2 linked regions of the Coturnix japonica genome follow. The protein of the gene in region 1 purifies or fractionates together with the protein of each later gene. This does not show direct contact. Links are inferred from orthologs where the notes say so. Each region holds a gene or a part of one and is shown on either strand. Other genes may lie near its edges. The genes, in order: ZYX and ENAH.

What was found.
Region 2: the proteins of ZYX (region 1) and ENAH purify together in Homo sapiens (co-immunoprecipitation; 4 studies listed by BioGRID and IntAct, counting the BioPlex papers as one, with this or other methods). This does not show direct contact. The link is inferred for Coturnix japonica from reciprocal best matches to the Homo sapiens genes ZYX and ENAH.

The regions. Positions count from the first base shown.
Region 1 is NC_029516.1:69,743,507-69,747,046, reverse strand, and holds the end of ZYX (zyxin), read left to right. Parts: intron 1-40; coding exon 41-173; intron 174-257; coding exon 258-427; intron 428-569; coding exon 570-748; intron 749-993; coding exon 994-1,114; intron 1,115-1,731; coding exon 1,732-1,842; 3' UTR 1,843-2,886; downstream 2,887-3,540. UniProt on the Homo sapiens protein: Adhesion plaque protein. Binds alpha-actinin and the CRP protein. Important for targeting TES and ENA/VASP family members to focal adhesions and for the formation of actin-rich structures.
Region 2 is NC_029518.1:15,042,958-15,047,259, reverse strand, and holds the start of ENAH (protein enabled homolog), read right to left. Parts: upstream 2,828-4,302; 5' UTR 2,662-2,827; coding exon 2,657-2,661; intron 2,405-2,656; exon of another isoform or gene 1-2,404. UniProt on the Homo sapiens protein: Ena/VASP proteins are actin-associated proteins involved in a range of processes dependent on cytoskeleton remodeling and cell polarity such as axon guidance and lamellipodial and filopodial dynamics in migrating cells.

The sequences.
Region 1 (3,540 bases):
TGTATGCATTCTTTGGGACTGACTGTTTTCTCTTCTGCAGCATAGACCCAGTGCAAATCCACCTAAGGGGAACTCTCCGCTAACCATGAAGGAGGTAGAAGAGCTGGAGATGTTGACCCAGAAACTAATGAAGGATATGGACCATCCACCTTCAGTAGAAGCTGCTACTTCTGGTATGTTCTCTTAGTGAACAGCAGCAGGACTGAGACTGTGGTGGGTTTTTAAACCTCCTAATCCCTTTCTACTGCTGTTGGTAGAGCTCTGTGGCTTCTGTCGGAAGCCCCTGTCACGGACCCAGCCAGCTGTGAGAGCTCTGGACTGCCTTTTCCATGTGGAGTGCTTCACCTGCTTCAAGTGTGAGAAGCAGCTGCAGGGGCAGCAGTTCTACAACGTGGATGAAAAGCCCTTCTGTGAGGACTGCTATGCCGTGAGTAACTGAGACAAAAAGCTGCAGCGGGCTGAGCTTGCTGTGGCTGTTCTCCTCTGTTTTTCATTTCACCTATCGAGTGTAGTCTCCTGGGGATGGAGGTTTGGATTAATATTGTCTTACCTGTTCGTTTTGTGTTTAGGGAACCCTGGAAAAGTGCAGTGTCTGCAAACAGACCATCACGGACCGGATGCTGAAGGCCACCGGTAACTCATACCATCCTCAGTGCTTCACCTGTGTGATGTGCCATACTCCTCTGGAGGGGGCCTCTTTCATAGTGGACCAGGCCAACCAGCCTCACTGTGTGGATGACTACCACAGGTATGGAGGGAGCATGTGCTCGTGGTATCCTAAAGCAGGCAGATTCCCTCACATCTGTTTAGTTTCGCTGCAAAATAGACATGGCTTTGCCACAGCAAAGTATAAAAACGAGTCAGCAATGCTCTGTGTTAAAACGAAGGTCTTTTCCCCTCTATTATGTGACTTGTGCCTCTGCTTCCCGTACTTCTGTATGATGGTGAGAAACCTGCAGCGGTCACGATCTCTGCTGTATTTGTGTGTTGCAGGAAGTATGCTCCACGTTGCTCAGTGTGTAGTGAACCCATCATGCCAGAGCCTGGGAAAGATGAGACAGTGCGTGTGGTGGCACTGGAGAAAAACTTCCACATGAAATGTTACAAGTGTGAGGTAACCCTGGTGGCCCCGCTCTTCTCATTTACATCATCACTAAGCATCTTTGAACTTTCCTTTGCTGACCAAACACACTAATGTTGTTTTCAATGACTTGTAAACATGTTGAGCAAGGTTTGGAATCATAGAATATCCCAAGTTGGAAGGGACCCACAAGGATTGCCAAACCCAACTCCTGGTTCCACCCAGGACCACCCAAATTTCAAACCTTATGACTGAGGGTATTGTTCAAATGCTTCCTGAATTGCAGCAGCTTGGTGCTATGACCTCTGCCCTGGGGAGTCTGTTTCAGTCCCTGACCACCTTCTTTGTGAAGAACAAGAAAAAGGTTTGATGTTCACAGATCACAGGTTGATGAGCAAGGACTTTGCGTACATGTAGCCACTATTAAAGCCCTAGTATGGCAGCTGTTTCTGCCAGGGGAACTTGCAGGGATAACAGAGGGGACTGTGCTCACCTGCTTAAAATGGTTTCCCCAATTACCACAGTCATAGAAAGAGCAGTGGACTGTGAGCCATTGTTCTGATCTGGTAGGACATTGCCTACATTGTTGTCTGTGTCATCCTGGCCGTTGGCTGTCACTGAGCTATCCCTTTTCTTATTATTCCATTTAGGACTGTGGGAGGCCCTTATCTATTGAAGCTGATGGAAATGGCTGCTTTCCACTGGATGGGCATGTACTATGTATGAAATGTCACACTGTTCGTGCTAAAACAGCGTGCTGAGGGGCTTGGAGCCAGCATACCCTCGAGACCCCCTGCACTCAGTACTCTTTCCTTCCCCACCATTGGCCTACCCCTCTGCCTGACGAGGCAGACTGCTACCAGTGAAGATTCCAACACACAGTTGGTTACCCATGTAGGATTCACCACTTGTAGACTTCACTATGCGCACCCAATAAGAAAGGACCTCTTCTCCCACTGCCACTTCCTGGCCGTACTGTATATTCCAGGCTGAGGACTGTGACTGAGGTGAGTGCAAAATCTCAAGACAAGAAGAAGGACCAAATCTCCACCATCGCCTGGTGGAAGGAGCAAGAATGACCTGGTGGCAGCTGCTGGGAAAAGGCTGAGCGTTCTTCTGCTCCATGAAGCCAAGAAATGATTTCACATCATAAGGTGGAAGCCGCCTCCATCTCAGCACTGCTTCTGTCATAGGTTTTTCCCGTGCCACCTCATTATCAGGATGTCTTCCCCCAACGCCTTCATCACTTCTGGGTAAGAGTGTGGAAGCAGAATGTACTGGGAGCTTCTGTTCTAGTTGCTGGGAAGAGCTACCCTACTATAGCCTTTCTGCTTCTAATGGATTCTATTGGCTAACTGCCCTGTCAATATTTTTTTCTTCTTCCCTAGCCAGATTAAACTGGCAGTGTTTGGAATCCTGCTCAGCTCCTGAGTTTGGACAGTTTAACTTTTTTCTCTTCCTAAAATGAGTTGTTTCCCGGTGTGGTTTCTGGACAGTCAGGGTGGGCAAGAATAAGAAAACAGTCCAAAGAATGGCTGTTATAAGCATATCGTGAGGAGGTGCCTCAGTGAGAGGATATGAGATCTCAGCGCACTGAGGAGCTCTCAGTGTTCCAGCAAGAGTTGTTTCACAGCTGTCAGTAGGAGCTACGATGTCACTGCAGTGTACTGTCTGACTCTGTGTTACTGCACTGAGCCTCGCTCCTTAGACTAGAAACTCTTAAAACAGAGCAAACCTTTTGAATAACTACGCTGTCCGACCACTGTTTGCATCCAATAAAATGGTGAGGTTTTTTTTTCCATTAATACGTCTCTCCTGTGTTTCTTTAACAGCCCATAAGAAGTGATGTCTTAGGCTGTAGGGAATATATCGTTGCTATTCCACTCAGCCTCCCAGAGATGTTCAGAGGCTGAAAATGGCCTTTCTCTCTCCGCATACTGGTTTCCTTTTCAAGCTGTTTAGTTTCCTGCTTCCCCTCACTGAAAGCAATAGAATGCCACATTTCAGTACAGCAAGAGCTGCCTTACCTCTCAGACATACTGTATCTTAAATGCTGTAACCTAGACGTGGCCAAGGCCTGTCCTGCGACCTCCCCACCCCATCATGGTGGTAGTGTAATCCCTACAAAATCTTGCTGGCCTTCCTCTGGTATTGCTCCAGTAAATCCATGTCCTGGTACCAAAGTTGGACAAAACACTCTAGGTGTCTCATTGGAGAGGAGAAGGGAAAGGAAGATCAAGTGCACCCTCAGCAACTTTGCAGTTGACACACCCAAAGGGCAGGCTGCCATTCTGAGAGTCATAGACATGCTTGAGCATGGGGAAACTCCTTTCAATTTGTGAAGGGGGTCTATAAGAAGGAAGGGGACAGACTCTTTAGCAGGATTTCTTGTGACGGGACAAGAGGAAATTGTTCCAAACTAAGAGATCTAGATTGAACGTAAGAAAGAAGTCTTGCCA
Region 2 (4,302 bases), on another chromosome or scaffold:
CTACTTTTTCCCACACCATCACCACAACCCAGCTGGATCAAAGCTGAAACCCCACCAAATATACCTATCCCTGGACACCTATTGTACTGTGCACTCAGGAAACTATCTTCAGGGCAGTACTCAGCTAACTACAATACAATAAGAGGAACAAGTGTTAATGAAAATCAACTGTTTACTCAAAGCTAGGGGGGAAGCTGCTAGTCAAGTTGTGTCCCAAAGCAAGTAACTTCATATCAAGTTCCTCATCTCTTAACTGGAATACTAATATTAAAAGTTCGTCAGCAACCAGAAGCCTCAGCAGATACTGCCCAAAGAGCATTTCATTTTAATTCAGATAGAGAACAAACTACCACAGGAATTCCTCTGGTCAACATGTGCTGATGGATGTTTGCGTCCTACCTTATTGTTGGTTACTTCATGCTATGAAGAAGCTCTCGACAACTATATTTAGTTGGATCTAACACAAGGAAAACTAGTTTGCTCTTTGGTAACTGATCACCTAAGCAGCCCAGACAAAATGTGAGATCTGAACATCAAATCATCATAATTATTTCAGGCTTGAGATGACTGAAGATTAGGCCCTCACATATGTAAAAGGCCAAAGGACATAACAGAAACAAAAGTTATGGGCTGGGGGAGGGCTGCAGCTCACCACAGGATTACTTCTGGTATTTATTTATATGATAACCGGAGCACCAACTGCATACTTACCTACAGAACAGCAATAGCAGAATGCAGTTTATGCATTTCAGGAAACCATCAACATCATGTAAAAACCTATTCTCAGCAACACCTACAAGAACAGAACCTATATCTGAAGCACCGGTTGCTTTCCCTATTCACTCTCTCGCTCCTCCCCATCAGGACTTACCTTGACCAGCAAACACCCATTAAAACACATTGCCCAAGCGTAGCAGGGTGTGCAGATATTGGTTTGAACATGTCTCAGAAATACAGCGTCAATCCTAGTCTAAACAAGTCCAAAGGGAGAGCGTGCAGTGAAAGCCTGCTATTGTACTGGAGTTGGAGCAATTAAACAAAACCAAGACAATTTAATAGTGCCTCTATAGAGAGAAAACGCTGCTTTAACCACATCATTTTCTTAACTTGTGCAGTTTAATTGGTACAGCTTGCTTTTTTTTAATAGGAGCCCTGCAATCAAGCCTTTAAAGTCAGATTTTTCCCAAATACCCAATGACAGCTCAGCGCGCCCATTCAACTCCCAACACCGTCTCCCTTCCACCAGCTTCACCTTCTGCACTCAGGCACAGGATCATTAGCGTACACTAACTAGAAGCTTGAAGACAACTACTCCAACATCTAAATAAGCAACCTAAGGGTAGGTTCAACTTAGGCACTTCCCGGTTATGCCGGTTAAGGGAAGTATTTGCACTGCCTCTCAGCTGCCAGAGGTCCTGAGGCAGACGCTTCAGCAGCAGCAAGGTGCTGGGACACCTTCCCTTGCTCCGCGCCGACCACACTTTGCCAGCATAGAAACTGGATTAATACATGGCCCTCTCCAAAGGTTTATGGTGGAAGTCCGTGCTAAGGACTGCCCAAGGGAGTCAGGGGCACCCCATGTTTGAAGGGTCCGGGTGTGAGCCGGGAGCTCAAGTTGTAAGTTTGTACTTGCGGGGCACCCCGCTTTTACAGCGATGCAGATGGGTGAAAATAAATCAGCACAACGCGAAACGAGGGCGAAAGGAGCATGCGAATGCTTACGGCTAACAAAGAGAGTGAGAGGGAAATACGGGAAAGCATTTTCCAACAGAACGGCAGGGACAAACCACGTCCCACCGCTTCCAGCTGCAGTGCTACCGTTGGCATAGAAGGCACACGGGGAAAAGGGGAAAAACAAAACAAAAGCAAAAACCTTGAAGTTCAGACCCGTAATTAGGATTCTGCATGAACGGACACAGCGCCGCAACAGAGGGATCGACCCGTTCTCACCCTGCGGACCTCTCCGCACTCGGAGGGGCCCCCGGCCTCGGCAACACAAAGCGGCTGGAAGCCCCTGGGGGCTGCGGGGCAGCTGGGGCCGGATCCGACGAGAGGACGACGGAAACGGGAGGAGGAACGGGGCGGGAGCGCCGCGGGGACAAATGAATGGGGCGCACGGAGCCGGGTCCCGAGTGGGAGCGGGCGGCCCCCGCCCGGCGCTGTTTACATCGCGGATCCCCCGAGGGGGGATTCCCCCTCCCCGCCGCCCGCTCCGTATCGATCTCGCAGGGTGCAGCCCAGCTGCTGCAATGCAACACGCGCCGGGAAGGGGCAGAGAAGGAGGGGGGGAGGAAAAAAAAAAAAAGAGAACGACAGAAAGGCACGGAGAAAGAAAGGCGCCGGGCTGGGCCGCCCCGCCAGGGCACTGCGGGCACAGCTCCGCCAAGGGTCGGGGCTCCCCGGCCGCTCCCCGCCCCGGCCCGGCCCCGCCGCCCCCCCCAGGCCCCTCAACTTCGCCGCCGCGGGGGCCGGGGCCGCCCCTCCCCCCGCCGCCGCCGCGGCCGCCGCTAACAATGGGCCCCTCCCCCGCGGGGCTCCCCTCGGCCCGCCGCCATCCCCCCCTCCTCAGCCCCCAGCCCCGGCACCGCGCCGGCCGCTATAGGGAGGGGGCCCCGCCGCCCTCCGCCCGGCCCCGGCCCCGGCCCCGGCCCCTCACCTCATGGTGCCGCTCCCGCCGCCTCGCTCAGCTCCGCGCTGTCCCCCGCCCCGCCGCGCTCTGTCTCTCTCGGCTCCTCTCGCCGCCGCTCCGCGGGGGCCGGCGCCTCAACGGACAGCGAGAGCTCCGGCAGCCGGCGCCTCCCACCCGCCCGTCTCCGCCGCTCCCTCCGCCGCCGGGCCGGGCCAGACCACCGCGGGGCGCCGGGGGTGGGAGGGGACGGAGAGGTGGGGGAAAGGGGCGGAGAGGAGCGAACCAACGAGCGGGAAGGGCGGGGGGACGAGGGGAGGAGGGCGGCAGCGCGGGGGAGGCCGGAGACACCGGCGGGGCCGCGGGAGGGCGGGGCGAGGGCGGGCACGCCCACCCCGTGAGGGGCTACGGCTCCCGGGGCGCTGCGCCGCCTATCGCCGGGGGTGCGTCCAGGTGTGATGGGTGGGTGTCGTTGTTCTGAGGCCGCCCGTGTGCCGCCCTGTGCAGCAGCGATGCTTTTGCATCACTGATTTGATCTTTCCTTCACAACTGCCATTGTTTTCTAGGATTGAGTTATTAAAAACATATAGGATATGAGAAAGAAAGTCGGTAGTTAGAAATACTACTTGAGAAAAAAGGACAGGCTCTGAAATTCAAACTGATGGATACCGATTTTGTGAAGGAAATGAACATGTTTTTACTGGCATAGGGATGATGTCAATGAAAATGTATCTGTAGAGGTGAATCACAAAAGGCAGATGAGTAATCAGAAGAAAAGCGGCATCATACACTTAAAAATTGAGTGGGTACTTCTGACAACAATGTGTGCACAGTCTGAAATAGGGGACTCAAATGAATCCTGCTAAATGCGTTTCTCTTCATTGTTTCCATTCAGCACTCGGGACGCTGGGGACTGACTGTGGATCATAAGAATCTTGACGAGTCAGGAGTTTTCTAAGGTCTGTGGTTACTGTATCACCAGAATGTCCTCCAAATAAAAGGTTTCAGAAGTAAGCCATTCTGACGGTGAAAGATAACTTGAAGCAGCCAAATATAAACGTGAAGATCTATATCTAACTGATATATCTAAGCATCCATATAGATATATGCCAGATCTATATCCAGCTGGCTGTAGTAGGAGATACATCGGTAGAAACAATGGCAGAGATGTTGGGACAAAAAGGAGTCTTTTCAGAGATCCCAATTGCTCTACACTAGAAAATATCAGGATGGTAATGCAGCTGTTCTGATGTGACTGTTTGGTCACATTAGTCACATCTAAAGGAACTTTGGCTGTGACAGGTGTATAAAAAGCACTGAAAGTGCCTCAGCAACAAGTCTGCCTGAGAGGGGATGAAAAGAGAGACAGAAGCTGTTACACACTGAATAAAAGTAAAAGAAAAACCTAACAAAAACCTATTAGCGTTATTTGTGTTATCATGCTTGGTGTTCTTAGCCAAATCAGATATTGGTCATAGCTTGATTTCTCAAGACATGCAGTGTAGTACAACAGAACTTGTAAAAATGCCAGAAGAAACATTCTGTGTGCCGGCATCACCCGTGTCACCGAGTGCGAAGTCATGCTGCGTGCTGGCCTAGTCAGAAATCCCATTGAATTAAGCTGTGACGGAATATTCAATCTGCAAAAGCTCACATTAGCAGTTATATGAGAAGGA